Tamandua tetradactyla: one gene and its partners. Each later gene encodes a partner of the first gene's protein in a complex. Links are inferred from orthologs where the notes say so. Each region holds a gene or a part of one and is shown in the gene's direction. Other genes may lie near its edges.

Region 1 (7,032 bases):
TTCTCTTTATCCCAAAAGCAAACAGCAGAAGAGTAGCACAATCAGATTTTATATCGTGAAAATATCACTGGTTATAGGGTGGAGGATGGATGTAAGGAGGCATCAGTTAAATGCAGTGGACTGTTTAGGAACCTAGAAGAGTAGTGCAAGGGAGCAGGATGACAATAGAGTAATGTCAGGGAGAGAGAAGCAGATTGATTCAAATACTTAGATAAAATCAACAGAACTTCATGACTGACTGAAAATAGGAGTGAAGCACTTGGGTTCTCTGGGATGCAGACTATAACACAGAGATTACCATGTAGCATGTTTGCTAAGGAGTGCTGTTGGAGTCAACATCTATGCAAGAGAAAGAAATTAATCCAAATTGGGCAAAGGAGGAAGCTGATCAGTAATGTGGCCCCAGCAAAGGCCTCAGTCAACCTCTTGAGGCGCTCTGGGACTGTGGAGGTCTTTCAGAGTTGTCCTCCACTGGGGAGAGGAGACTGGACCTTTATACCTTTGTGTTGATCAGTCACTGGATACAGAATACCCCAGGAAAGAAACATCACCTTGGATGAACCTGCTCTCTTCAGCTCAGGGAACTCTGGACGGGGACCCTGAAGGGCTGTCTGCCAGCAGCCTTCCAGCAGCTGGAGAATAAACCTTCATTTTTGAAGGGGAGTCTGGGCTTTGAACAACAGCCTCTGCTACAGGAAGAAAAGAAAGCAAGGCATCAAGGAATTTTCCTAAATTTCTGATTTGTGCCTCTTTGTGGATGCATTTATGACCATATATTGCAATCTTTGGCACATCTGTCATTCTCTGCCTACCTCATTGGGAGCCACTCAGGCACAGACTGTATCAGACAGCTAGTGTGCAGCCCTATACCTGGCACATGTTTGCTGAATAAGTGACTGCCCGTCTACCTCTCCTATTTCCACTCCTTTCTCCCCTACATTCCCTTTGCTCTCCCACCCCACCCCCTCCTTCTAGCCAATGTGGGAAAAAAATCCAGTAGGTTATCTGTGGCCCCACCTGGGCTGAAGCTGAACAAACAGTAAGCCGAGCTCTCCCGGTCCAGGTTTTCTCACTGGGCAAAGCAGGCAGTGCCAGGAGGAAGGGAAGAGGGAGCAGCTGGCTGGACCAAGTTTTCCCTACACGACCGCTTGGATAAAGACTCTGAATTCCCCATAAACCCAGACCCCATCACCACTCTAATCCGCCCTTTGACTGATGCCCCCACCTCTTACAACTACTGAATAGCCAGAGGATGCAACTTCTGTTCATTGTAGAGTTTCTTTGAAATAGAGGAGAGTGGACGGCCACCTGGGCTGAAATATTAGGAGAAGTAAGTCCTGCTCCAAGTAGCTGAACCCACCTCAGATCCTGCACACACCCCATTCATCTTTGTTCCTGATTCACCCCAGTGTCCCAACCCCCTTCCAGCCCCCTCTCGTGGGAACCTGTTGCCCTACACAGGCAGGTCCACCTGCCCTGAGAGCAAACAGGGAGCGTCAGCGAGTCGGGTAGGGGTGAGTGCTGCCTGGAGACCGCGGAAGGTTGGAACCATATCCCAACCCACCCCCATGCCCATTGCTTTTTTTTTTTCAATATTTTTATTGTGAAATATAACATATATGCAAATATTGATAAATTTCAGAGTACAATCGAACAAGTAGTTATAAAACAAATTTCAAAGTATGGTATAGGTTACAGTGTCACAATTTCAGGTTATTTCCTTCTCGTTGCTCTAATACACTGGAGACTAAAAAGAAATATCAATACAATGATTCAGCAGTCATACTCATTTGTTAAATCCTATCTTCTCTGTTATAATTCCTGCTTCTCCTTTCATCCTTCTCCCAATCTTTAGGGATATTTGGGCAATGACCACTCTAACTCTTCATGTTAAAAAGGGGTGTCAATATTATGGAGTAGGGAGATGCAACTGGTTGAGGTTCTTGGTGAGACAGGTACCTCTGGGTTTCAGGACTTATCTGGCATAAGAACAATCTGAAAAGTTTTAGGTTTCTGAAAGGTAAACTTAGTGAGTGAACATTTATAGAGGCTCAGATAGAGCCCTGGGTATTCTTTAGGGCTTTTAGGAATACTATTGATTGGGGCTTGGTATACTGTGGCAATTTTCAATATCTAGCTAAAGCTTGCATAAGAGTAACCTCCAGAGTAATCTCTCAACTCTATTTGAAATCTCTTGGCCACTGAAACCTTATTTTGCTACATTTCTTTCCCCCCTTTTGGTCAGGTAGTCATTGTCAATCCCATGATGCCAGGGCCAGGCTCATCCCCAGGAGTCATGTCCCGTGTTGCGAAGGAGACTTATGCCCCGGGAAGTCATGTCCCACATGGAGAGAGTAATGAGTTTACTTGCAGAGCCAGGCTTAGTGAGAGAGAGACCACACTTGAGCAACAAAAGAGGTCCTCTGGAGATGACTCTTAGGCATAATTAAGGTAGGCTCAGCCTCTCCATTACAGTAGCTTGTCTTTTCATCCTTTTAACAGTGTATTTCACAGAACAAAAGTTTTAAATTTTGATGAAGTCTAATTTATCAATTTTTTAAAAAAAGATAGTGCTATTTTTAAAATATTTTATTGAGATATCTTCATGTACCATACAGTCCATCCAAAGTATGCAATCAGTGGCTCACAATAGTTATGTATTCATCACTGTGATCATTTTTACAGCATTTCCATCACTCCTGAAAAAAAAATAAAAATAAAAATAAATACATCCCATACCCCTTACCCATCCCTCTCCCTGATCACTAATATCACAAACTACCCATTTTTTTTTTTACTTTCTGTCCACCCCCATTATTTATTTTTTGTCCTTATTTTTTAAACTTTTTAAATTGTATAATATAACGTAGATACAAAGCAAAGAAAGAAAAAAGCAACAGTTTTCAAAGGACTCTTCAACAAGTAGTTACAGGACAGAGCCCAGAGTTTGTCATGGGCAACCATACCATCTCAGATTTTTCCTTCTAGTTGCTCCAGAACATTAGGGATTAGAGGAAATGAGTATTTTTTTCATCACAATCGACTTGTGTGTGTGTGTGAAAAAATACCATATATACAAAAAAGCAATAAATTTCAAAACACAGTGCAACAATTAGTAAATATATTTCGGATTTTGTTATGGGTTACATGTTTGTTTTGTTTTGTTTTGTTTTTCTCACCTGTCCATACCCTGGATAAAGGGAACATTAGCCACAAGGTTTCACAATCACCCACCACCCCCCATTTATCCTGGGCAGGTGTCACCACCCCAGGCGGACTCCGACAGCCAAGGCAGACTCTTGCTCCCGGCAGCACTTTCCCCTGTCAGGAGACCCCTGGGGACAACTGTCCTGCACCCCCAACCATGCCCGCTGCTGAAGACTCTTTGGGTGTTGGGCGGTAGAAGGCGGAGGGTACGGGGCAGCTGCAGCAGTTACCCCAGGCCCACGCGAGGAGCTGCAGGGCACGATGGCAGCGACAGTGCCGCGATGGCTGAGGCCACTGCGGCACAATTTCTGGTAACCGCGGCGCTGAGCACCTGGTGAGGCATCGCGCCGCGGCCGGTGCCCCCTGCGAGCAGACCCCGCCTCCGACGACACCTCCAAGTCCCTGCTCCACCCGGGAGAGATGCAGCGCTCCGCGCCAGCCGCGCCCTCCCTCACCCCTCTAACTCTCCCTCCCGCCAACACACACACAACACACGCACACGCACACACACACACGCACGCAAGCACACACGCTCCCCAGCGAAAGCCAAGAATTCCCCAGAACCCAGGGCGGTGGAGGGGAGGGGAGGCTGGCGGGAAGGAAATCTGTGAGAGGAGACGGGAGACATCTAGGGAGGGGGTCGAGCCTCGGAGAACAGTCACGCAGGGGTGGGGGTGGGGGCGGGACGGGGTGGGCAGAGGAGTCACCTGGGGGGACAGATGCGGCCCCGAGCCGGGGAGGGGCGGGAGCCTCGGCGCGGCGCGCAGAGTGGGAGTGGAGGGGCAGGGGCCGGGGCCGGGGTTGGGGGCGCTTCGGGGGTGGGAGCCTGAGCCGGAATCGCCGCGCGCCCAGGTGGAGCTGCTGCAGGAGTCCGCCCGGCCCAGCTGAGGGAGGCGGCGGGCCCGGCGGGGGCCATGGAGCTACCGAGGCTGAATCGGAGCGTGCTGGGACCCGGACCCGGGCCGGGGGCTTCTCTGTGCCGTCCCGGGGGCCTCCTCCTCAACAGCAGCAGTACTGGCAACCACAGCTGCGACCCCCCTCGCCTCCGCGGAGCCGGGACACGAGGTGGGTGTCTCCCTAAGCCCCCCCCCCCACAAGCTCCTTCTCACAGCACCTCAGGACTCTAAGAGCGGCCCCCCACGGCCTCCACACTGCCTCCTCGGACGCCCACACCGTCCCCCTCAGAGCACTCTCTCAGCCCCCAAACGGCCTCTCTCACACATGGGGCCCCACAGTTCTTACAACTCCATCACATCGCAGCCTCTTCACAGACCTTCTCTGAAAACACAGCCCCCTCCCCAACACACATCCCCCTCCTTGACACAGACAGTGGAGAAGCAAGGACCTTCTCTTGCCAAACCTTCCAGGTCTCTCTTGTACATCCCATCCACAGTGCCATACAGGGGAAGAGAAGAAAGAAAGGAAAGATTGGGGGGAAGGTGGGGACAAGATTGTGGGAAGAGCACTCTGGAAGGCCTGATGGGAAGCTGAGTTATTTCTTGTGTCCCCCACCCCACCCCCTAGCCTTCCCAAATGACATCCTCATGCCTGGATTAGGCTGGACCCTGGGGGCTGCTCCCCAGAGCTGTCTGCCTCTATTTTACTCATCCTCAAACCTCTCTGCCTCCCAAGCTGGAGTTCTTCTCAAAGCTCTCTACCTTCTCTTTCTCTGTTTCCAAGTGATGTCGCTAAGTTCCTCCAAGCCCCTAGCATAGCTTGTCTCTCCTTAGGGCTCATCCTCACAGAGACTGGTTCCATCCCTTTGTGCCACCACCTTCTCTCTTCCTACCTCCTTCGGACTGCTTCCAATCACCCAGTCCCCCCCACCACCACCACCACCAAAATGAATTTCACTCTTCCCATCAGCTCACCTTAGCATTTTCTGGATGATCCAGCTCAAAGTACATCATTTTTCCCTTCTTGCACTCCTCCTTTCCTTAAATGTTTAGTGTACATCTGCTATCCTAGTCCCTGAGCTAGGTTCTGGGGACACAAGGAAAAATTAGACCCAGTCTCGGCTCTCATCAGTTCATAATCAAGTATAGAGAAGAGACAAGCCCGTGGATATAGCACAGTTAGCATAGGAAGTACTATGAAAGGGTCTGACTTGTGGGTACCCAAAAGAGAAAACTAATTACCACAGCCTGACAGAGTCCACTAACTTCACAGAGAAGGGAATCCAGGAGCCAAATTTTGAAGTTGGAGTTCAGTAGGCAGAAAAGGAAAGAGGGGTATTCCAGGAGAGGTAAAAGTATTAAGCAGAAGTAAATTATTCCAAGCCCGAAAAGGGAAAGAAACTTGAAATAAACTGTGGTCTGAGTACTTATTTATGCCACAAAATAACACATGCTTTCTCAGCTCCGTTATTATACACACTCACACACACACTCAGATTCTTTCATTCAAAAATGTTTACTGAACAAGAGACTGTGCTAGGTGCCAGGGACATGAATTGAACAAAACTGACACAGTCTCTGCTTCATGGAGCTCACAGGTTAGTATGGGAGACAGGCAAGTAACCAAGGAACTGCAGCACAAAATGGAAAATACCTTGGTAGGGCTGTGGGCACATGGCCTTGGAAATCAAGGTTGGCCTTCTGAGGAAGTGACATCTAATTTGAAATCAGAAAAATGAGAGAGAGCCAGAAGGGTGAATGGGGCAGAACAGGTAAAAAAGAAAAAATCCCAAGCAGAGAGGCAGGATGTGTGAAAGCCCAAAGTTTAAATCCATGGCACTTTTACTCAATGTGACATATTTTTGTGTGACTGTATCAAATTCCCTAAGAGAGGAGTAATGAACACTCAGGCTGGAGCCTAGAGGGTTTATAGAGAATACTGTATATCTAGCTAAGGAGTATGTATTTTATCCTGAGGGCCATAGAAACTACTGAAACTGGGACTAGTTGTTGAGATGGAAGGCAGGGGGATACTTTAGAATGCTATTACAGTGATACATATGAAAGATGACACTGGCTTAGATGAAGTGAGTCGCAGAGGGAAGGAGAGAGGTGAATGGATTTGGAGAACTACTTCTGGAAGTAGAATCAACAGGACTTGGTGTCTGATTAAAAGGGGAGACTGAGGAAGAGGTCCAGGGATGACAACCAGGTTTCTGGCTAGGGCAATGTATTCGATGGGTATTGGTTCTATATAATGTGAAGGATAACGAAAGAACAGAAAATAGATTCAGAAGAGATTATAAATTCACTTTGGAACCCACTGAGTTTAAATGTCAGTGGGACACCCAGATGGAGTTGTTCTGAAAACTGTTGAATGCATGGATCTGAAATTTAGGGGAGAGGCCTGAGCTGGAAATACACATTTGAAAGCCTTTTGCCAATGGAGATAATGGAAGTTATGGGAATAGTGAAAATCACCCAAAGATTGTATAGAATGAAAGAAAAAGAGAACCTGAGGCAAAACCCTGCAGAAGTCCAATTTTCAAAAACCAGGCAGAGGAAGGAGAGTCCATGGAAATTTAGATGAAACTATTAGAGAGATGGGAGCTATGTCTTTCCAGAAGCCAAGGAAAAATAGAGTTTCCAGCAGGATGGGGTAATTGATTTCAAACGCTGGCAAAAAAATCAAGTCAGATAAAGACAGAGCAGTGTTCTTTGGAGTAAATAACAAGGAAGTCCTTAGAAGGAGTTGTGGATGTGTTTGTGTAGCTTTGTCCTTTGGATTTGGGCAGGGGCAGGAGGGGGGCATGGTGTAGTAGAGACAAGAGCACTTTAAGAGTACTGATGGGCAGAGGAAGGTTAAAGGCGCAGGAGAGGGGGTGTCAATAGAGCAAGGATGCCTAAGAAAATAGGAGGTGGAGTAATA
Region 2 (7,011 bases), on another chromosome or scaffold:
CTGGGCAGGAGAGGCCAGGTATAAATACCCACCCGAAACTGCCTTTGGGGAAGTGCTGGCAGCTTCCTCTTCCTGGAACCTCTGTACTGAGGGGTGGGGGTGGGGCCACAGTCCACTGAGGGGGTACAGTGGGGGACCACTGTACCTCCACTGCTTAGGGCCTGTGCACAATAGGAACTTAGAACAATCTGGACCCACTCAGTGGCCTGTGGTGAGCTCCAAGGCTGTTCTGGTTGTTCTGGGGTGAGCCAGCAGCTACCACTTTTCCACTTCAGCTGGAGTGCCATGCTTGGCTCTGCTGGATGATGTGTCACTGCCCTTCTCAGTCTAGTGCAGGTGGTGCTGGGCTGGCATGTATGAGGACAAGTCACACCTCCTTTGCAGCCCATGAGGTCCTGGGCAAGCAGCCACACCCTATCCCAAAAAGTGTCTCCCCAGGATTCTGGGCTATTAAGGAATCAGGATGGGTGAACAAGGATGGAGATCATTTTCCTCTCCTGGGCTTCAGTTGACTCAACTGCAAAGTAAGGAATTTCTCCAGTTCTGAGACTTGATTTTCCCTCTGGTCCTTCCCGAAACCCACCCTCTCAGTCCTGCCTCCCTACCTTTGCATGTGTTGCTCCCTTTTCCTGGAATTACCTTCCACATTGCTTTTCTCTCTAGCACTCCCCACATCACCTCTGCTGAGAAGGTTCCCTGACCTTCCCAGGCACGATTGGTTTTTCCCTTTTCTGCATATACAACTATACTGAATATTTTTCTAGTGGTAACTCTCCCAGCTCCAGGGTGGGAGAACTCGTGGAAGGGTGGGGGAGGATTTGGGTCATTCATTAATTTAATTTGAAAAATATGACCTGCCACCCTGAAGGAACAGCATTTTGCTACAAGGAACCTGGAGTCAGGGACCTGGGTGGGGAAGACATCCCATCGTGGGATTGGGCTGGGGAAGGGGATGCTCCAGGACAGTAGGAGTCAAAGAGCCCTTCCGCACAGCCAGGGAATGAAAGATGGAAAGGGTGGGGTTGGGGGGATTAATAAAGAGAGGGAAGGGGCGGGAAGGGGGGATAAGCAAGGCATACCAGATGGCTGGAGTGCTGGCGTATTGCAAGTGGAGGGAGAGGACATGGACCAGAGGGTGAGGATAGCCCCTACAGGGCCTTACAGAAATCACTATAATAACAACTCATTCCTTTTGAGGACTTTCCATGTGTCAGCCTTGTCTGAGCATTTTACCTACATTTCCTCCCTTAGTCCTAACCTTGGCCGGTGCGGTGGGTAAGTATCACAGTCACCAAACTGTTCTACTTAGAAGAAAACTGAGGCACAAGGAGATTCCAATATTTGTTCAAAGTCATGCAACCAGCAAGTTTGGCTCCTCCCCAGAGTCCTTGCTGCCAATGATGACTTTATCACCTCCTGCACTGTCCAAAGCAGTGTGCATGGGCTTTATCTCACCCTCAGAGCCCTGGAGAACCACAGAAGGTTTGTGAGCAAGAAAGTGATGTGATTTGATTCAGTAGGATTCCCTTGGCTGCTGTGTGCAGAATGGGCTGTAGTGGGGACACAGGGAGCCAGGGAGGAGGCTGGAAGCCTAGAATGAGGGACAGTGGGGACACAGAACTGCCACAAGTTTGAGGTGGAATTGAGGAAGGGAAAGGGCTAACAGAATGTAGGGGTGGGGAAGGGGAATTAATGGTTCTGGCTGGTGGGAGGGACCATGAAATGGTGGGATGCTCAGACTAGGGGCCAGTGGGGGTAGGTTGTACCCCGTTCAGGATTACGTACTCTTGAGGTGTGTAGGTGGCTGGGGGAAGCCTCCAAGGAGTTGTGGGCATGGGGCTGGCAATCAGAGTAGAGGGCAGTCTAGAGATGACTGTGTGGGGTCCTGAGCCCTTGGAGTGGGATGTGTGTAACTGGAGTGGCAAGTGGAGGCCTGGGCAGATCCCCAGGGATGAAGACAGAAAGGGAGCCTTTGGAAGGTTGGAAGGACGGGAGTGCTGGACTCTCTCACAGGAGCATGTGGCTGGAAGGAAGTGGCTGGCTGGTGGGAATGATGCAGGGAGATCCAGTGTACCAGCACAGCCACAGGACCTGGTTTGAGGCTGCTGGCGCCATGCCTTCCAGTAGCCCTGCCCTGCCCTGCCTCTATTGATTGGGGTCTGTGTCTCGCCCACCTCTGGAGAGCCGGGCCTCCAAGGGGCTGACAGGTTCTCCTTGTTGCCCAGCAACTGCAAGAGCTGTCGGCTGTTGCTAGGAGCCAACCGGGGGAGGCCTGAGGAGTGAGGATCAGTTCTCAGGCCGGGGCGGGGCTGGCAGGGAAGAGGCCTGCCTTGGGTTTGTAGTCTGTCCGAGGACAGGCTGTGTTCTTGGCCACGTACTCCCATTTTTATAGTGTGTTCTGTAGATGTGAGGCATGCTGGAGACTGGACCTCTATGTGGATGTATAGAGCGTGTCTCCGGCTGGGTCTGTGTCCAGGCTTATATTAGGGCATGTCTCCTGGATGGACATTACAGGTTTCTGCTATGTTTGTAAGATGCCCGTGGCAGGGCCTGCTGGAGTTTGGGTTCCAGGCAGGAGGGGGCCTGAGGAAACCATTGGAGGGCCTACAGGCCAATGGCCCTTCAAATAAGGGAGCCATTCAGATAGGGGTATCCAGGGAGAGTGGATAGCCAACCTGGGGACTGGAAACCGGGACAAGGTATGTGTGGAGGGGGGTCTGTGCTGAACAGGGGTCTGCCGGTGGACAAGCTCCCCACCTGACTTCATGGACTTTCCCTATTTCTGGGGCCTCCTGGGCTCATGGCAACTAGGACCACATGGAATCCTTTTCTGGGTAATCCTTGGCAGACCCCTTCAAATGCCAGGCCAAGGCTGTGGACTCCTGCGGGGTACCAGGATCAGAAAGACCAAAGCATTCAGGCACTGAGGCTGCTGCTCCCACCCCAGCTTTGCCTGTGGTGGTTGGTGAATAGGCTACAGGGTTGCAGCTACCTGTGGAGAGAAAGGCCACGAAGAATAGGCTGAGGTCGTGGCTACCACCAGTGGAGGACAGGCCCTGGAGGGGACAGGTCATAAGATCCTAGCAACTTCTGTTTTGAGAAGGCGGGTGGCAGCTGTCTCTCTTCTCTTTTTCTCAGGGCCCTGGCTACCCATTCCCAGCCTGTAGTCCAGGATGGCTGCCTGCAGGAGGAAATCTCCCAGCAGATCAGGAAAGGATGGACAAGCCTTGGATGAGCAGAAGAATAACCCCCCGCTGGTGGAAACAGCTTGGGCCAAAGTGTAGAGGTGGCAATCGATTTCATTTTCTTTGTTTTGCTGCAACCCAGGGAGAGAAGAGGGCAAACCTGCCTTAAGATAGAAAACTGCAGTCTTAAAGAGCTCCCGGGTTTGGGTAGATCCCGACACAAGTTTAAGGGGTTCGTTAACTTGTGACGAAGACACGCCTCTTCCACCTCACTCGCCTAACTCGCGGAAGCTCAGAGGGCGGGTTCCTGCTCCACCCGGGAGGTGCAGCGGTCCCCTAGCCTCGGGCTACCAGAACCTCCCACCGCCGCCGTCGGGCCGCAGAGCTCCAGACGCTTGGCTCCGCATCCAATCGAAGCCCGGCCCCGCCTGAAGCCCTCTCGGAGCCCAATCCGAGCGTTTACTCTACCTCTAGTGCCTACTCTCGGCGTGGCCCCGCCTCCAGCCCTGGCCCAAGGCTGGGCCCTGCCCAGCTTCATCCGCCGCTCCGCCCTCTAACCAATCACCGGCCTCGGATCTCTTCTGGGCCCGCCTCCGGACCCGCCCCGGCCCAGTCCCAGGCCTGGCTCGCTCGGGCCCCACCCCTGGCCCGCCCCGCCGTCGGTGCACGGCGGCGGGCAAGGCACCGCCCGCAGACGCTCGGAACTGTCGACCCGAGAGCTGCCCGCAGAGGGCCGGTGGCCGGAGCGGAGTTGGTCGGGCGGGGCCGAGCCGGGCCGGGGGCCGTGTGGGGGCCGGGCGGCGGCCGGGCCGGGCGGACGGCGGGATGGGCTGCACCGTGAGCGCCGAGGACAAGGCGGCGGCCGAGCGCTCCAAAATGATCGATAAGAACCTGCGGGAGGACGGCGAAAAGGCGGCGCGGGAGGTGAAGTTGCTGCTGCTGGGTGAGGCCGCGCCCCGCGCTGAGATACCCCCCTCCCCCCTTACCCTCCCGCCCCCTCCCTCAGTTCTGCCAGATTCCCAGACAAGGACTTCGAACTCGTAGACAAGGGCTTCGGACCTCCCCTTCGCTCCCGCCCGCGTCTGGACCCCCAAGCCTGGCCTGAAACCCCAGTCGGACCGTCACATAAGGATCCGAAATCCTAAGCTGAAGTCCAGGCTCTAGATAAGAATCCCAAATCATTCCAGACTCCAAACACCCAAACCCAGCCACCAGGCCCCCAACACCAGCTACCCAGAACCCTGCTTGACCATCCCTTGCCGACCAAACTTATAGACCCTCAGAAGCTGCCATCTTGTCTTTCCATCCTTCTTTAGACTTTACTCAAAGCCCCAGAACCCTACCTCGCCTTTACGTTCAGTCTCCACCTGTTCCCCTCACCTGCTCCCTCGTATTCCTATTGGGCATGAGCATCCCTGGGGCCCCTCCCAGGCCCCCCCCACTCCCTCCTTCCCCTCCTGTGCCCCATCCATACTCTGAACTTTATATCTTCTACCTGTGACCTCGGATTTTAAGACATCTCCTGCGTGAGAACCCACGATAGGGCACCCCTCACTCCAGCTGGAATCCCCGAACCTGTAGACGCTCTGCTCCCTGACTTCGGCCCCCCAGGTCCTCTGCAGGCATCACTCCCCAAAACGCTGTGCACACCCTCTCCCACTCTCTGGCCTTCCCCAGGTTCGCCTACCCCTGCACTATTGGGCCGGGCCAGGAGGAGGGGCCCAGGGGCTAGGGTGAGGTAGCAGGCTCGTTAGACCTCCCAGGAGGGGGCTGGAGTGAAGCCCCACTCAGGCTTCTCTGGGAGTTTCCGCTTGCATTACCTTTTTAAGTTTCAAGACCTACTCCTGTGAGCCCCCAGGCAGTAGGAGGGTGTGTGGGGGAGGGGCAGGGGTGAGTTGTTGGGGTGGAGTGGGGGTTGCGGCCACTTCCAAGGCCCGGGAAGATGGTGGCTGCTCAAATGGTGGAGGGAAGTGGAAGTGGTGAGACAGCCGACATATTGCCGCCCCTGCGGGCGGGCTGAGATCCGCTGACGGCTTGGGAACTGGCCTGAAGAGCTGGTCTGAGGCCTTCGGAGTGGATGGAGCTGTAGTATCCTGGGACCCTCCTAGTGGGGGAGTGGTGGACCAGCTTCATGAGGGTATGGGGGACCAGCTGGGGGTCAGTCAGGTGCCTCTGAGCCTCTGCGCTAGGCTTTTGCAAAGGTGGGGGGTCCGGTGGACATCCTGGACCAGCTCCCCATGGGGAAGCTTGAAAGCCTGATTTGGGGATTTCAAGGGGTTTTATGGGAGGCCCCCACAACAGTGTTAGAGGCTGAATAGTATATGTGTGTGGGGGTGTGGCCCCTCGGCCTCAGAGCTGCTGTGGAGACCTCAGGTTGTGAAAAGCAGAGCTTTGCAGGCTGGGCCTGTGGCTGAGGGACAGCAAATAACTGTCCATTCATGGGCCCATCTGTTGACTGTCCCCAGGGGCCTGGCCTCAGGGGCGCAGCCCCAGAGGTTTCAAAATGGCATCCGCTCTGCTGCCGCCGCCGCAGGGAGGAAGAGAAGGGGCGGGAAGGGGCGGCGGCCCAGCCTCCTGGGCTGCTTTGCGTTGGGCGCTTGCCTCTTCCTGTCTCTGCTGCTGCGAAGAGCGGCGGCGGCAATGAGTGGGTGTCGACGCGGCGGAATGCTTGTTGCTGCCCGCTGGGCCTGGGGAGGGCACTTCCGGTCCTACAGCCTCTCGGTGCTCAGCTTGGGGTCTCTAGCTATCCCCTTACCCAGTCGATTAAGCTGGTGGCTAAGGAGATGTGGGACTAGAGTAGAGGTGGGGACACAGGGCTCCTGGCCTATTCTATGCCCCAGCCCTAGAAAGGCCCTCCGTCCTGCCAGGATTGCCCCTTGGAGCTCGGCTCAGCTTTTGGGCCAGGCCAGGTGGAGCCCAGTAACCCCTCCTACACTGAGCTGGCAGCAGCCAGGAGTGCAGTATCGGTCAGCATTTTCTAGCTTGGTGAGCCCATCCCAGCATCCTGCCTCTCTGGCCTTTTCTTCCTCTCTGAAATGGGCTTCCTGGGCTGGCCAGGGAAGGGCCACAGGAGTGCCAGGGCCCAGCTGGGAGAGAATAGGAGCTTCAGGGAGGTTTCTGTTGGTGATGTGAGTAGGGGTTAGGACCTGCAGAGCATATACTGCAAGGGGCTGGGAGAGCAAGCTCTTCCTGAAATTGAAGATTTAATCTGCCACAGTTGCCTGGGGAGCAGTCCTGGCTGACCCATCCTTTTTCCCTCCAGGTACATAGTGGTGGTGGGAGCTTGGCTGTGGCAGGTTCAGAGTGCTGGGCGCCTGTCCCACATAGCGGGAGAGACTCTGTCTGGGCAACGGGACTTGGGCTGGGCATTTGCCAGCCTTCCCTCCCAGCCAGAGCCACGCCTGCTGCCCCACCCGCATACAGGCTCCCTCCCGCTCGGGGTGGCCCGGCCAGTGGGCGGGTACATTCATTGTCACTGGGGCAGAAGCAGACATGGTACACATTGGCGAGAGGACTTTCATTAGATAGCTTGGTGGGGGGAGCAGAGGAGCTGAAAGCTGCTGTACTCCGGGGATACCCTCACCCCACCAGTTCAGCTTGATTGAGTTCAGGTGGAAATCAGGTCCTTGGGCTGGACACGTAGGGGAAAAGGAACCCAAAGCCCAAGGGAAGTCTCTGTTTTGGGGTTGGGCTTATGTGGGCAGCCTCACAGAAGAAAGGAGAGGCAGGGCCCACGGATGGGTCCAAGAGAGCTTCAGGGTACAAATACAGAAGTTCTCTTGCCCCTGGGCTGTTGCACCTGCTATTCCCATTGCTTGGCCTGTTT
Region 3 (6,962 bases), on another chromosome or scaffold:
CACACATCAGTACAAGCAAAAAGTATTTGTAAAATTAATTTTCCATCGCTCTTTTATGTAAATTAGATGCTCTTCATCAATGTAAGTGTAATTTTCTAAAACAAAGCTATCAAAAGCCAGCATTTATGTCAGGAATATTAATTCCTTTTTTTTTTTGAAATTTATGTCAGGAATATTAATTTCTTTTTTTGAAATTTGTGGCAGTAATTCAATCTGCAAACAAAGTTTGGCTTTGAATTTTTTCCATTATGGTAAAACACATAAAACATGAAATTTACCATTTGAATCATTGTAATCACAATTTAATGGCATTAATTCGCAATGTTGTGCAACCATCGCACATTTTGTTCCCAATATTTTTCATCACCCAAACAAACTCCATACCCATTAAGCAATAACTTCCTTTTCCTTGTCTCCACAGCCCTGGTAACCTCTCATCTACTTTCTGTCCCTGCGAATTTGCCTACATATATAACTGGAATCTTCATATAACTAGAATCATACAATATGTCCTTTTGTGTCTGGCTTATTTCACTTAGCCTAATGTTTTCAAGGTTCATCCATGTCAGAGGGGTCTCAGCACTTCATCGCTTGTTATGGCCCAGTAATATCCCACTGCGTGGATGAAACATATTTTATTTCTCCATTCATCTGCTGAGGACACTTGGTTTATTCCCACTTTTTGGCTGTTGTGAATAACGCTGCTGTGAACTTTGGCATATAAACACCTGTTTGAGTCTCTGCTGGATGTGATTTTGCATTTTATGTGAGATGAGAGATGTCCCACGAGCACTCGGTCAATAATGGAAATAGTGGAAGGTGTTACTAAGATACGGGAGGCAAAAAAATTCCAAGGTGGAGGCCAGGCAGTGAGCCAGGAGGCAGGAGAAGCAAAACATGGATAGACCCGGGAAGAGCTGGTGTGAGGTCCACGTGGAGGAGAGGCATGAACTCCAGACGGGTACAGGACATACGGAAGGAGCAAGGAAACGGGGAGAATATTCTGGAAGTCAGCAGGAAGCAACAGCATGGAGAGGGTGCCAGTAGGCTGTGATAAGGAAATTCTAATAATGAGACCAGACCCTTCCTTAGAGTTCAGCACGTATCAGACACCATGCGAAATGCTAGAGCATCCTATTTAACCTCACCATGGCCCTCCATGGTAGGTGTTAAGTATTATCCCCACTTTACAGGTAAGGAAACTGAGACCTAGAGAGTCGAAACTAGAGAGTCGAAGTGACTTGTCTTAGGTTGCAAGTGCCAGAGCTGGGGACTCCAAAGCCTCCTTGCCCAGTCCTTTCACATATACAAATGTCCTCCCTGCACACAGCCTCGTGGACAGCCCCAGGGACCCATCCCGCGGATTCTGATCTGATAGGACTGAGGGGCAGCCTGGGCCTTGGACAATTAGAATTGCCAAGTGGTCCTTGGGTTGAGAGCCACTGCTTCAAAGTCACAAGTAGGCATCAGAAGAGAAGGGGAGCTGGGTGGGTCAGGGAGAGAGGGCAGAGGCAGGAGTGGGGGGGTCCTCTGCTCTCTCTCACGTGCAGCCAGACCAGCTGCCTTGCCTGACGTGTGAGGGGGGCCCCCCAGCTCAGCCTGAGGGCTGCACACGAGGCTGTCCTACCTTATCACTCACACCACAGAACGTATAAGCCCACTTCCCCCTGTCCAGCGCCCGACATGGACACCGTGTCCGCGCAATCACCTCCCAGGTGTCACTGTTTGTCCCCGGCCAGTCCACCACTCCCTCTGAGGCCCTGGTTGCCTAGGGCAGTGTGACCGAGTCCTCACCAGCCTCTCCCTCTTCCGCTATCAATAACCAATTAGGAAGCTGAGCACCGCGTCCCTGACAGCAGTTTGCAGGCAGTAGATAGTGACCCGTTTCCCAAAGCTCGGCCCTGGCAGGCAGGAGTGTGGTCAGCTGTGCCAAGTCCCTATTGGAGACTCTCCCCACCAGAGAGGGTTCTCCCCTCCACAGGGCACCCTCCGCTGTTAGGGCATTTGTTTTTTGGGTACCTCTCTTCTCCCAGAATCTAAATTCCGTGAAAGCTATGGAAAGGCTGGTGGTTTTCACCTCTTGCCCATGGGGTCTCCTTCCTAGTGAGGCCGAGGTCCCACTTTCTGGATGTGTGAACTCAGGGCGGGGGTTGATTCCTGCCTGAGCCTCAGTTTCTTCATCGGCGGGAAGGGGACACACCAGTACTTATGTCCTAGGATTGTGAAGAAGAGCAGCCGGGCCCAGTGGCACACAGCACTGTCATTGTGATGGCAGGGGCAGGGTCCATAAGCAAGGATGGGGGTCCAGGGCCTGGGTTCTAGTCCTCAGCTCATTAGGCTCAGACACTGAATTTTCTGGGTATTGGAGTCAGCGTTGGAGCCAGGATGCGAACTCTGGCCCTGGGGTTCTTGACCCCCTGCATGCTAGTAAGTGCCGGTCTCAGGGCTGGCCTCCACTGGCCCCAGCCCTGCCGCCTCCTCCAGGGCTGATTCAGGGTGGGGTCCCTCTGCCTTGAGGCCATGGGATTTGGAGTCGCAGAGCGATGCTTTTTAGGGAACTACCCTCCTTTAAGCTCTGGGGGGAGAGAAGCTCCTCTGCATATGCCAACAGCGTGCACAGGCCTTGTCACATTTCTCCTTCACTGCAGCCCTGCAAGGTAGGAATGAACGACTCCCATTTCATACCTGAGACTGACTGAGGCCCAGAGGGGCTAAGGGGGAGGGAGGATCCTAACCAAATCAGATCCCTCCCTCCTGAGCACCGTGCCTCTTCTGGGCATCACCTTCACGGGCCCCTCCAGGTTATCTCCCTCAATTCCTGGAGGAGAAAACTGCTCAGAGATGGGGACAGACTTGCCCAAAACTCAAAAGCTAGAAAAGGGCAGAGCCTTGCCTTTCCCATCAGCGTCCCCAGGCGAGGAGAACTTGCAGCTCCCGGGACAGTGAGCTCCTTGTGGGGAGCGCGGCCTTTCTCATCCCCAGTGTGCCTCCACCCCCTGCCCTGCTCAGCTCCCAGAACCTGAATGCAGCACCCCCAGCCCCCATCCCCCCAGCTCCCGAGCGGAAGGACACACTTGGATTTGGTGAAATCGCCAGGCCTCGTGCAAACAGCCTGAGGAAAATCAGCCAGGGAAGGCATAACCCTTCCAAGGGCCAGAATAGAGAGTTTCGGGCTCTGATACCACCAGGGTCCGGCTGAAGGCTGGTCATTTATCATCACCATGGCAACATGAGTATCTCTAGTCCCCCAGGATGGGAGCGGAGCTGCTGCCCACCCCACCCTGCCCTTCCATCTCTGAGCATCAGAGACACAGCTATTTACGGCCAATCCCTGCACTGCTTTTGTCATTTTCATTTATTCCATCTGCTAAGTATACAGTCCTGCTATGAATTAGAGCGGCCAGAACATTTGGCCACTGGTTGCCTGGGACACCCCCCAGCCTGCATCACCACTGCCCCTTACCAGGGTCCCAGGGGCACCAAACCTACCCCAGACAAGGGGGGCCCCGATGACGCATGCACGAGAACTGAATCTCCAGTACCAACTGCAGAAAAATAAAAAACAGCTAAGAGCTAGTTACATCCGCTCAAACCGAGTTGAGGCAGCAGTTTATCAAATAAATCAGCAAGCATACCATTGCATTTTCTGGAAGGTCTTTGACACAACTTTCTGTTTGCGAGCCATTTTAAGATGAATTTTCATTTTGGAAAGTTGTGACTGCATTAGGCAGGAGACTATCTCCCCTGGGCAGCAAGGTGAGGAGGCTGGCAAGGCAGGACCCTCAAGGAATTGGCTCAGGGTACAGAGTTCGAGGGAGGTGGGGCGTGGGGTGGGGGGAGCCAGAAGCTAAATCCAAGCCAGCCCAGAAAGGCATAAGGAGAAGGGAGAGGCCGGGAGTTTTCCAGGGTTAGAGGAGGGGGCAGAGCCTTCCGAGGCAACCAGGACACGACAGCAGGGCCATCAGCCCATGGCCCATTGCCCCTGATAACCACGACACGTCCTGTTTGCAGAGCCCGGCAGAGGAGACAGGGGATCGATACATCACCCCACATTCACGCACTCCCTGCTCTTCAAACACCAGCGTCTGGTGAAATGTGCCTTCTTCAAATCTAAGATCATTCGGTCCATCTGCCTCCCCTGCCCGGCGATGGGACGCAGTACAAGGGATGGTCCCCAGAGACCAGCACCTCCTACCTGCCCTCACATCCCACTGAAAAGCAATCCCCCTCCCCACTCCTGCCCTTACCCCATGAAGTCAGCACCCCTTCTCTACCCCCACATCCTGGACAATTGAGTGACACTAAATGGCAGGGTGGGGCAGAGGTGATGGGCTGTACTTCTGCCCCACCCCCATCCCTCCTTCTGCCAGGTGGGGAGCCTCCCATGCCTCCTTCTGCCAGGGGGGGAGCCTGGCTTCATAGGGAGGAGGCCTTGGGAGGGAGCTTGGGGGCTTTATAAAGCCGGCCTGGGGCAGCTGATGGAGCAGAGTGCTGCGAGCCACCGGGTTTGGCACTGCACCCGTGCCCATCTCTCCAGATCTGCAGGTGAGAAAACCCAGGAGGAGAGGGAGATGCCGGGAAGAGGGCTGACAGGTCCTCCGTCCACCTCCATGCAAGGGGTCAGGCCCCCGGCCAGAGCAGAGACCAGGGCTCAGCCCTTGTGTCTCTGAGAGGGGACCCCCCCCCCCGCTTAGCCCACGGTAGAAGCAGCCCAGGCCCACCTGCCCTGGGCCCTGACCCTCTCGCCCAGGCTCACTCCAAACCTGGAGATGGGGAGGACAAAGGCTTCTCTCCCCGCTCTCAGATGAGAAAGTTGAGGCCCACAGGGGAGCTGTGACTGACCGAAGTCACTCAAATGAGGGGCAGATCTGGGCCTGGAATCCACAGCTCCTGGGACCCAACTCAAGCTCTTTCCCAGACCAGCCCTATCTAAAAGCTCTTTTCTAGACCAGCCATTTCCACAACGATAGAAACGTAAATCTGTGCCGTTCACTCCAGTAGCCACTGGCCACATCCACGCTAGAAATGTGGCTGGTGTGCTGATTAAATGAACTTTTAATTTTCATTAATTGAAATTTCTAGAGCATGTGTGGCTGGTGATGCTTTCCAACTTTGTTTCTTTAGCTGCAGAACTCGTTTTCTTTCACAGGAAATCTAACAGACACCCCACCACCGCCACCACATTAAGAAAAACAGATAAAAGCAGTGTTTTATTAGTACAAATGTATTCTTATGAGGTCAAAGTTATATCATCTACTTAAGATAACAGTAACACATCAGAACAATGAGGTGCAAGCAATAACATTTGAATTTTATATTTGTTGGCGCATCCAGTTTATTTCTCTACATGGTTTCCCCAAACTTGCCTCACCCTGATAAACAGTTGCAAATGCTGACAGTTTGAGGTTTTTTTAAACAGCTTAATTGAGATCACAGGTTATTGCTCAGTTGAGTAAAAATAGCAGGAGAGCCTTCCCTCCAAGAACTGCCCCAAAACGGTAGGTTGCCGCCCCACGAGTAAACAGGTGGGTGGGCTCCATGGTGTTTCCAGGTGTATATAATGTAGCTGAGGGTGTGTGTTCCTTTGGCATTATGATTTACAAATTTGCTTTAAGTTCCAAGACTCCAACATTTACAGAGCCGCCGACAGGGCCTCGAGCTCTACAGAACAGTTTGGAGCCGTTGCTCTAGGTTTTTAATTCCTCCAGAAGAAGCTGTTGCTGTGCTTGGGGAGATGGGCAGGCAAGGTGCAAGGCTGGGGGGCCTGAATAGAGCTGGAAGGAACTGCAGAAATGGAGCCCACGGTCTATGGGGAGATTCGCAGAGTCCTTCTGGTCCAGCCCCCTGCCTCCAGACCTGCCTGGGGACAGCCCCATCTTTAAGCTCGGCCCATCTCCCCTTTGCAGACAAGATGCAGCAACTGTTCGCATACGTGCTCATCTCTGCGCTGGCGCTGGCCGCCTTCTCGGACGCGTCTTGGAAGCCCCCCTTCCAGCTGCAGAACGAGCCCGTGGGCCCACTGGCCAGCAAGGGCCTGGAGCCTCCCCAGTCCCACCACCTGGGCCTGATCTCTCCCCACCGAAGGCAGCTGGGGCTCCAGGACCCCCCACACATCGTGGCAGGTAGGAGTTGCCAATGGCCATCCCCACTTTTCTAATCCAGCCAGGTTCCGGCCAAGTTCCACCCACCGGCCGGGAAGCCAAGTGCCCCTGCTCACCACCACCTCCTCTCCTGTGCACCCCCAGCACCCCTTGACGCTTCCCTCTTGTCCCGCTCCTCAGACCTGTCCAAGAAGCAAGGGCCGTGGCTGGAGGAAGAGGAGGAGGCGTACGGCTGGATGGACTTCGGTCGCCGCAGTGCTGAGGAGGGCGCTGAGCGCCCTTAGAACCACGTTTCGGCCCCAGCCCCACCCTGTCCTGTGAAAAGCAAATCCGAATAAACTCGCTTCTGATGGTGCACCTGGAGTCAAGTGTAGTGGGGCCGGGGAGGGGGCCTTGGTGGGGGGCAGAGCTGGGGCAGGGAGGCCCCCCCAGGATAACTCCTCTCTGCCTCCCCAGACCCCAGCTCTGAGCAAGAATCTGCACATGTGGGTGGGAAAATGGGATTGCAGCCAGAGCAAGCTTTTGAAAGACGAAGCAAATCATTGGCAGCTTAAACCATCCAATGCTTCCCATCGCACTTAGGATAAAATACCAAAGCCCTAAAGAGCTGTCTCCCTCTCTCCCCTCTTCTGTGCCACTCCCTTCCTCTCCTCTCTTCCTTTTTGTTACACAGACACTCCATGTTCTTTCCCGCTCAGGACCTCTGTCCTTGCTGTTCCCTGGGCCTGGAATGTCCTTCCTTGGGCACAGTGCATGGCTGGTGCCTTTTTCTCTCTGGGGTTTTAGTTGAAATGCTTTCTCCTCAGGGACCCACTCTTCACATGAACACCCCATTATTCTCTATCACGACATCCTGCTTTC
Region 4 (7,400 bases), on another chromosome or scaffold:
GCCCAAATAGACTATTAAGCCTTTAAGGGCTGTGGATGCCTCAGGCACCTGGCCATTTGCAAGCGTGTTTGTCGTTAATATAGTTGATGGCACTCTCTTATTTATTCAGCATTTACTGAGTGTCAGTTTTAGGCTAGGCAATTTTTTAGGTGCCCTGAAAACAGTTACGACAGACAAGGGCTCTGCTCTCAGGCAGCACCTAATCTTCTGGGGGAGAGATGCAATTACATTACAGTGTTGTGGGACATGCCATACATTGTCAGAGAGTCATGGATTATTCTATCGGCTTTTCCTTCCTTTTACAAGAAAGGGCTTTTCCCTTTTTGCTTCCAGGAACACTCCTTGAGATATCAAACGACGTTTTTACCGTTGTTTCCCCCCCCCAGTACCCAAAAGAAATTGTGGGCTAGGTATCTGTCTCAGGATACCACAGAAGACGTGACAGTCTTCACATTTTTGTAGAGTTGCCTCTGAATTTCAATGCTCCCAGGGTTTTTGTACTTTGCTTTTCAGCCATCTAGTACTTGCCCTTGCATTCTTAAAATGGTTTATTATCTCACTGTCTGTTTGGGGTGAGTTGCTGATTGGTTGTTATGGGGGTGTAGATATATATTTATTGAAACCCTGTTTATTCTCAAATGCCACATTTCCTGTAGTTATCTTGAGTTCTACACAGAATGAATGTTTTTTCTTTTTTTATACATTTGTATTGTTACTTCTACCCCTACCTTAATACAAATTGATTTTATTGTAGTAATTCAGAGTCTCATTATACCTTGAGACCATAAGCCTCTAGAGGGCCAGAGCAGCATTTTATTCATCATAGTCTCTCTTCCTGCACCTTCACCTTGGTTATTTCTAAATAGTCGGCACTGAGTTAGTTTGTTGACTCAGCAACCTGGAATTTTGCAATATTTTGTAATTTTGTAATATGGTGTGGTAGCTTGAGTTACGTACCCCGGATTAATTTGATTACATTTTTTTTCTTTTTTTTTTAGCATGGCAGGCTCCTGGAATCAAACCCGGGTCTCTGACATGGCAGGCAAGAATTCTGCCACTGAGCCACTGTTGCACTGCCCTGTGTACCCGGATTTAGACATGTGCTTGGTCTTAATCCGCCTTCCTGTGGGTGTGCATCCACAATGAATAGAACATCTTGAAGATGTTCTTTTTGGTTAAGGTGTGGCTCAACTGAATGAGGCTGGGTCTTAAACTGGATTACCGGAATACTCTATAGACTGAAGAAATTCAAACATAGGAGCTGGAAGCTGGAAGTCAGTCAACAGAACTGGGAAGGGAGAGGAGAGGACATCAACATGTGATAGGAAAACCAAGGGACTCACGATTGCCTGCCAGCCAGAATGCTACCAACTGAAACTGAGAACCAATAAAGTCCTGTTTTTAAGCCAATTCATTGTGTGGTATTTGTCGTAGCAGCTGGGAAACTAAGGTACTTGGTTAGTTGCATATTTTTAAATGTCTAGAACACGATCAACAACTTGAGTAGTTCCTGCATGAATTTTGTTTGTTTGATGTAGGTCTTATCAATGCTTGCTTGATGAATGCTTCCCATATATACATATAAAGGTTTCTGGGTAGGTCTGGGTTAGTACATAGAATTTTCTTGTCTTACTTTCTTCTTGCCATCCATATATGGCTCCATCCCTACAGAGTATTGTATACCTTATTTCCTGATTTCTTCCCAACATATGAAAAAATATGTTTTTATTGATTTTTTGTATCCATTCCAATATTTATTGGGTGCCAGGGAGTGGGGATATAGGGGTGACAAAACAGACTTTGATTCTACAATCTGTTACAAGTTTAATTCTTTTAATCAAATAGATCAATTCAGTCTAAATGGATTGCCTGATAGCTTGATAGCACAGTTTGAGAGACATTTTCAAAAGCCTCACATGGATCCATGGGTAGGAAACCAGAGAATTGAGGCCTCCTGTCATTTGTTTTTCTGTCTCTCTGAAACTTGTGTATATACATATTTTAGAGGATGCAAACTCATAGTTAAGTTTCCCCCAGAGGTATTCTAAACTTTTGCATGTTAAATTTTAATCTTTAATTTCATTAGTCACCTAATTTAAAATGTTAATTTCATATCAAGTTGTAAGCTTTCACATAAAAGGTGTGAGGTTTGTCTTCTCTGCTCTCCTGGCCATGGTGAACATTAATCATTTTCTAGGCTGAATATCTTTTTATGAAGGGAACCTACAATATCAGATCTTATATCTTTATGACTTGTTTGATCTGAGTCCTCGCTGAGAAAGAGAGAGAAGGGGACAAGGGATGGGCTGTAGCAAATGAAGGAAGGAAATCACATACCTATCATCCAAAAACCCTATGTGCATTCTTGACTTGCGGCACTAGCACAGTCAAAACTTTACACTCTGGATGAGCAAGTTCCACCAGAAACATCTCAGAGAAAATATGAAATTTGAAAAAGACATTCCCTTCCTAAGATGTAGTTTACTCTCAAGATGTCAGGTTCCATCACAGCTGGAAGTAATATAGGTGTCATCTCTTGTAGCCACTAGAACTAAACGCTTCAGCAAGGAGATTTTGTTCTTGCTGCCATTTATCGGTAGTGTATCACAACGAAAGATGCAAACGACATTTTCAAGTGCCTTAATCAAAAGTGGGAAAAAAATAACCTAGAATGGGATTTTGCTGGGTCGGTGTTTGTTTCCCCATTTTCTATTTTATTCTTTCCTTTTCATTTATTCAATGTGCATAGAATGCACGCGCAATAGAACCTCTGTCTAGGGGAATAAAGTAAGTTTGATTACTTGGCTGTTACACATCCTGAGCCTTTTCAAAACAAAAGGAGAACTTGTAAAATATAAAAGCCAGAAACAACCTCAATTGCATGAAAAGTTGGAGGCCATCAGGAAACTCTTGGGCAGCTTCATTTTCTCGGCTCTGGATTTAGATTTGTATCTGCAGTGACTTTGTGGACGGTTTCGCCTATTAATGATCTCCTTAACCCCTCTGGGAGCCAGTGACAATTCCTTCTCTTCTCCACCCCACAATCAAGAGTATCTTATTTTCTAAGACTGAACTCGGGTCAGAGGTGACGCGAGATATTTTCTAACCGAATGGCGTTTTAGAACGTTTAGGAACGGGAAAGAATGCATATGTGGTTGAAGAGCTGCTCCGCCGAGCAGAAAGACGCTGCCTGAGAGCCGTGGGCGCGAGCGCCTCCGCCGCCCGCGGGGTAGCCAGGCAGGGTGTCCGCGGCGCCAGCCTGTTCAGTGAGTTCGCGGGTCTAAATCCTGCCACTTCCAGGAGGGGCTGAGGCCGCGTACCCAGGCTGGTGGGCCGAAAGGCAGCCAGAGGCAGCCATATTCCCGCTTTACCACGCCCGGGCGGCCAGCCGGGCAGCTGCAGGTCGGCGGCCGCCCGAGCCGCAGCAGCGGATACCCGTTGGGGCGGCGCGTCGGCGAGCGCGGGCGACCGGGTCCCCGCCCCAACCTCCGCTCTGGGCGGCCGGAACCGCTGCGCCCGCGGGCCCCGCCGAGGGCGCGGGAGCGGAAGGCGACCGCAGAGCCCGAGGGGGCCGGCCCGGCGCGGGGAGCGGCGCGGGCGAGGCGAGAGCCGCACTGGGAGGCGCGTCGCGGCGGCAGCGAGCCCAGGAAAGCCTTCCAAGAGGGGCCGGGCGGCACCGCCTCCCGACTCCCCTCCTCCCGCGTCCATTCCCTCCCTCCCTCACTCCCTCCCCCTCCGCCTCCTCCTACTGCCGCCTCCCTCCCGGATCTGTGCTCCAGTTCAGAGAAAGAAGAAAATGTGTGTGTGTGGCGAGGGGGAGGGCGAGCACTGAGCAGCCGCTCCGCGCCTGGCAATCGGGGCCGGGGCTGGGCGTCTGGCGGAGGCGGAGTGCGCGGCGGTCGGGCGGGCCGGCGAGCGGTGTTTGCGCGCGAGCCGGGCGGTGGGCGCGGGCAGGGCCGAGGGCGCCCGGGAGCCGTGTCAGGCGGCGGCGAGGAGCGGGCGTGCTGGGCGAAGGGAGCCGTCGGCGGCCGCTCGCTGCGGGGACGCCCCGGTGGATGAGCTCTAGCCGCCGGGTGCAGGGCTTAGAGGACCTTCGGCTGCTCGGGGGGCGAGGCGGGTTGCCGGTTCCCGGGGAAGGAGGCGCGGGCGTCTGAGCGAGGCCGGGCGCGGCGGCCTTCCCTCGCGCGCCCCCCGAGCCAGTGCCTGCGACCGCCTCCCGCGCCCGCCTCGCTCCTCCCGCGGCCGAGGCGGCCGATCCGGGCTGCCAGCTCCCGCCGCGCCCCCGGCCCACCTGGTGGCCCCGGCCCTGGCCGCGGCTTCCGCGGAGGCTCCCCGAGCTCGTCCCGGACGCGCGCCCGGGCGGCGGGGGCTCGGCGGCCACCGCTGTCTCGGGGGGGCGAGGGCGGGAGGGTGTGTGTGCGTGCGTGTGAGCAGGGGGTGCCGGCGGGGCTGCAGCGGAGGCACTTTGGAAGAATGACTCTGGAGTCCATCATGGCGTGCTGCCTGAGCGAGGAGGCCAAGGAAGCCCGGCGGATCAACGACGAGATCGAGCGGCAGCTCCGCAGGGACAAGCGGGACGCCCGCCGGGAGCTCAAGCTGTTGCTGCTCGGTGAGTACGGCTCGGGGTCAACCGCCCGGTGCTCTCCACCTGGGGCCTCGCGCCCCGGGTCCGCCGCCCCCGGCCTGTCGGGGCAGCTGCTTTCTTCGGCCCCCGCCCCTGGGCGCCCGCGGCGCGCCCCCGGCCAAAACCCGCACCCGCACCCTGAGCGGGTGCGCGTGCGCGTGCCCACAGACACACACACACACACACACACACACACCACACACGCGCACATGCACACACACACACACGCACGCACGGGCATGGGTCAGGGCTGCCCTGCCCGGTGTCTCGGCGTGTGCCTTTTCGTATCCCCGAGGGCTGTGCATTCGGGGTGCGGGTTTGACTGCTGTGCATTTGTTTAGTGGAAAATCACTTCCCGGCGGAGCGCGGGGGTGGGAAGGTGGGCAGAGGGATTGAACTTCCAGTGTCGTGGCCTTGGTTCTCCTTGGGTGGTGAAGTGAGGAGCTGCATGTGTGAGACCCCGAGGGTGGCGAGCGGATTCAGGACACTCTGAGAGATGGAGTGCGGTGGGATGGTCTGTGTTTCTATTACCAGCGTATGCCGGGGTCAGAACTGAATGGTGGAGTGGTGGGCAGACGCGCGACTGGATTCTCCAAGGAGTGATGTTGAGGGAGCCCAGCAGTGGGCCAGCTAAAGAAAGAGGGCTGATGTATTGGCTAGGGGTCGGGTGGGGGGTGGGGCAAGCCCAAAGGTTGAATTGTTCTCTAGCCACCAGGCCACAGAATGGGGAGACCCCAGAAGAGTTTCTTGGCCATCAGATGGTGACAAGCGCCTTTCTTGTCTGCACCATTCCTTCCGGATAAAGATGAAGGATAAGGGAGCGTTGTACTGTGTGGTTGTTGACAGCGATGGATATCTTTTGTTTAATAAGGCAAACCCAAATGTAGGCCTGAATTCACAATAGTTACTGCTGAAAACCAGTGCAGCCTCCCAGTTATTCTCATGGAAGCAAAGAACAACCTTTTGTTTGTTGAAAACGGACAGCAATTTTAATATCTTTGAAATCTGGGTTGGAAGGGAAAATGGGAAGCATAGGGCAAAAATTTCTCTTTAATCTTTGAAAAAAGAACTGACCATTCTGCTTTAACATTAAGTTAGCGAGAAAATGCCATTTCTCAAAGAGGAATTCTATTGATTATTATCTCTGAGAGAATGTTCAGAATCAAGTCATCAGGGTTCACATACAAGCCACCCTGTCATACTTCTGAGGTATTGTGGAAGGAAGAGCAAACAGCTTTGCAGTTACAGGCCTGAGAAATGCTTCCACTTGTGTTCTGCATACTTGTGTGTATAATACATACGTTTCTCAAATATTTTCTGTAAGAAAAGAAAATTGTATCGTCAGTGAGGGTTTGAGAAGCAGGCATTTTCTTTCTTATCTTGAGCTGTATCTCCTGGTTAAAGGAAACAATTGCCTTTGGGACAGAACTGCTTATGTCCTGGATCATTTGCAAGAAGGAACAAAGTATAATGATCACATATAATTATCAATGGTTAATTCACGTGCCATGGCTTTTTGTCTTCATTTGAAACCCAATTAGATAAATGAGTACGTGTGTATTAAAAACAGAAGGCAAAGCACTGGTTGAAAGAGGTAGGCTTAAGGCAATGAAGCCGGGGTGGAAGATGTAGATTTTTTTTCTTCTTTTTTTGATCCTCTCATTTGGGTTACTTCTAATGGCTGAAAATGGTCTGAATTCCCAAGATGAGGAGAAAATAGAGGGAGCAAGAGGACTTTATAGTGCTTAAGTGCATCATTAAGGGAAAAAAAGTGTTTTAGTGTGATTTGTTTAAAGAATTGTTTTTCTTTGTATTTTGTCTGTTTACAGTTTTATTTGCTTTTGTTTGGCTGTAAATGGGGTGTTTGAGGTCTTTCAAGGCAGCCCTGTTGCCTGAAATGTGGCAGCCTTGGGTTTTGCAGCAGCTGAGGGTTAGAGACCTGGGGGTTTTGTCAAAGGGTCTAGGTTTGAATGGCTAGAAGGAAGACTTCAGGGGAAATGAACACATATGGATGGTCAGTTACATACTGTTTATTTAAATAACCAACTGTGCTTTAAAAATTAACTTGGAGATAATTTGCCAAGGAATAAGAATTAAAGAAAAACAGGTTTACTGCTATGGTGGTGGTAGTATGGATAACTTTTTTTTCCTATTAGATATTTGAGAAGGGTTTCATACAGTCTCCTGCTTTCCTCAAATATGGCCTGTTAGAAGTGGTAGAAAAATATATTAATTTAGAGCCCACTTGCATTAGTTAGATTTAAAAATTATACAGCTTGCTATCAGAAACGTGATTCGAAGACATCATGTAAGAATTGCTACAGCTTCATGTTCTAAATATGTTGCTTTGGTGACAACTGCTGCAATACTTACACTATATATATAGTCATACTATCACTAAATGTAGATTTGTTCATGTGTATGGGTGTGTGAATTCCTGATTTTCTGGGCCTTGCAGGGAAATGATGGTTGATTTCTGGAACAAGGAGAGGTGCAGGGAGGGCTTCCTTTTACTCCTGATGTCTGGTGATGATGAGTGAACTTTGTGTTCTGACTCCTTCATTCATTTAAATAGTACTTATTAGGAGAAGGTTATGGCCTTTCACAGTTTAAAAATTTACTAATATTTTAAACCTAATTTATTTAAATTAAGGAATTACCCATGTATGGAAATTTCAGCATAAAACTTTTTAAAGTAAATTTTATTTCAAAGCATGATGCCATTTTAATGAATTTGTTTGGCATGGATAGAAATGCATTTATTTACATAATTAGT

Evidence for each region.
Region 2: the proteins of CCKBR (region 1) and GNAI2 are in contact, whole or in part, in a cryo-EM structure (PDB 7F8V), measured with the Homo sapiens proteins. The link is inferred for Tamandua tetradactyla from reciprocal best matches to the Homo sapiens genes CCKBR and GNAI2. Residues at the interface, in NP_795344.1 of Homo sapiens: Thr87, Thr89, Arg152, Ala155, Ile156, Pro159, Leu160, Ala162, Arg163, Val164, Thr167, Ser169, Ile241, Gly248, Leu249, Lys328, Val331, Leu335, His394, Arg396; in NP_002061.1 of Homo sapiens: Glu28, Ala31, Arg32, Glu33, Val34, Lys193, Leu195, Thr220, Phe337, Thr341, Asp342, Ile344, Ile345, Asn348, Leu349, Lys350, Asp351, Cys352, Gly353, Leu354, Phe355.
Region 3: the proteins of CCKBR (region 1) and GAST are in contact, whole or in part, in a cryo-EM structure (PDB 7XOW), measured with the Homo sapiens proteins. The link is inferred for Tamandua tetradactyla from reciprocal best matches to the Homo sapiens genes CCKBR and GAST. Residues at the interface, in NP_795344.1 of Homo sapiens: Cys107, Pro114, Asn115, Gly118, Thr119, Phe120, Met134, Gly135, Val138, Tyr189, Gln204, Cys205, His207, Leu222, Val349, Tyr350, Ala352, Asn353, Arg356, Pro361, Ala363, His364, Leu367, Ser368, Ile372, His376, Tyr380; in NP_000796.1 of Homo sapiens: Glu85, Ala86, Tyr87, Gly88, Trp89, Met90, Asp91, Phe92.
Region 4: the proteins of CCKBR (region 1) and GNAQ are in contact, whole or in part, in a cryo-EM structure (PDB 7F8W), measured with the Homo sapiens proteins. The link is inferred for Tamandua tetradactyla from reciprocal best matches to the Homo sapiens genes CCKBR and GNAQ. Residues at the interface, in NP_795344.1 of Homo sapiens: Thr87, Val88, Thr89, Asn90, Glu151, Arg152, Ala155, Ile156, Pro159, Leu160, Ala162, Arg163, Val164, Trp165, Gln166, Thr167, Ile241, Leu245, Gly248, Leu249, Val331, Leu335, His394, Arg396, Phe397; in NP_002063.2 of Homo sapiens: Arg30, Arg34, Asp35, Arg37, Arg38, Leu40, Ser198, Val199, Phe341, Lys345, Asp346, Ile348, Leu349, Gln350, Asn352, Leu353, Lys354, Glu355, Tyr356, Asn357, Leu358, Val359.

What each region holds. Positions count from the first base shown.
Region 1 is NC_135334.1:79,677,821-79,684,852, forward strand, and holds the start of CCKBR (gastrin/cholecystokinin type B receptor), read left to right. Parts: upstream 1-4,020; 5' UTR 4,021-4,121; coding exon 4,122-4,272; intron 4,273-7,032. UniProt on the Homo sapiens protein: Receptor for gastrin and cholecystokinin. The CCK-B receptors occur throughout the central nervous system where they modulate anxiety, analgesia, arousal, and neuroleptic activity.
Region 2 is NC_135341.1:35,847,412-35,854,422, reverse strand, and holds the start of GNAI2 (guanine nucleotide-binding protein G(i) subunit alpha-2), read left to right. Parts: upstream 1-3,993; 5' UTR 3,994-4,010; coding exon 4,011-4,128; intron 4,129-7,011. UniProt on the Homo sapiens protein: Guanine nucleotide-binding proteins (G proteins) are involved as modulators or transducers in various transmembrane signaling systems.
Region 3 is NC_135332.1:25,473,227-25,480,188, reverse strand, and holds GAST (gastrin), read left to right. Parts: upstream 1-4,412; 5' UTR 4,413-4,478; coding exon 4,479-4,545; intron 4,546-5,906; coding exon 5,907-6,122; intron 6,123-6,281; coding exon 6,282-6,385; 3' UTR 6,386-6,451; downstream 6,452-6,962. UniProt on the Homo sapiens protein: Gastrin stimulates the stomach mucosa to produce and secrete hydrochloric acid and the pancreas to secrete its digestive enzymes. It also stimulates smooth muscle contraction and increases blood circulation and water secretion in the stomach and intestine.
Region 4 is NC_135328.1:108,702,342-108,709,741, reverse strand, and holds the start of GNAQ (guanine nucleotide-binding protein G(q) subunit alpha), read left to right. Parts: upstream 1-4,394; 5' UTR 4,395-4,473; coding exon 4,474-4,609; intron 4,610-7,400.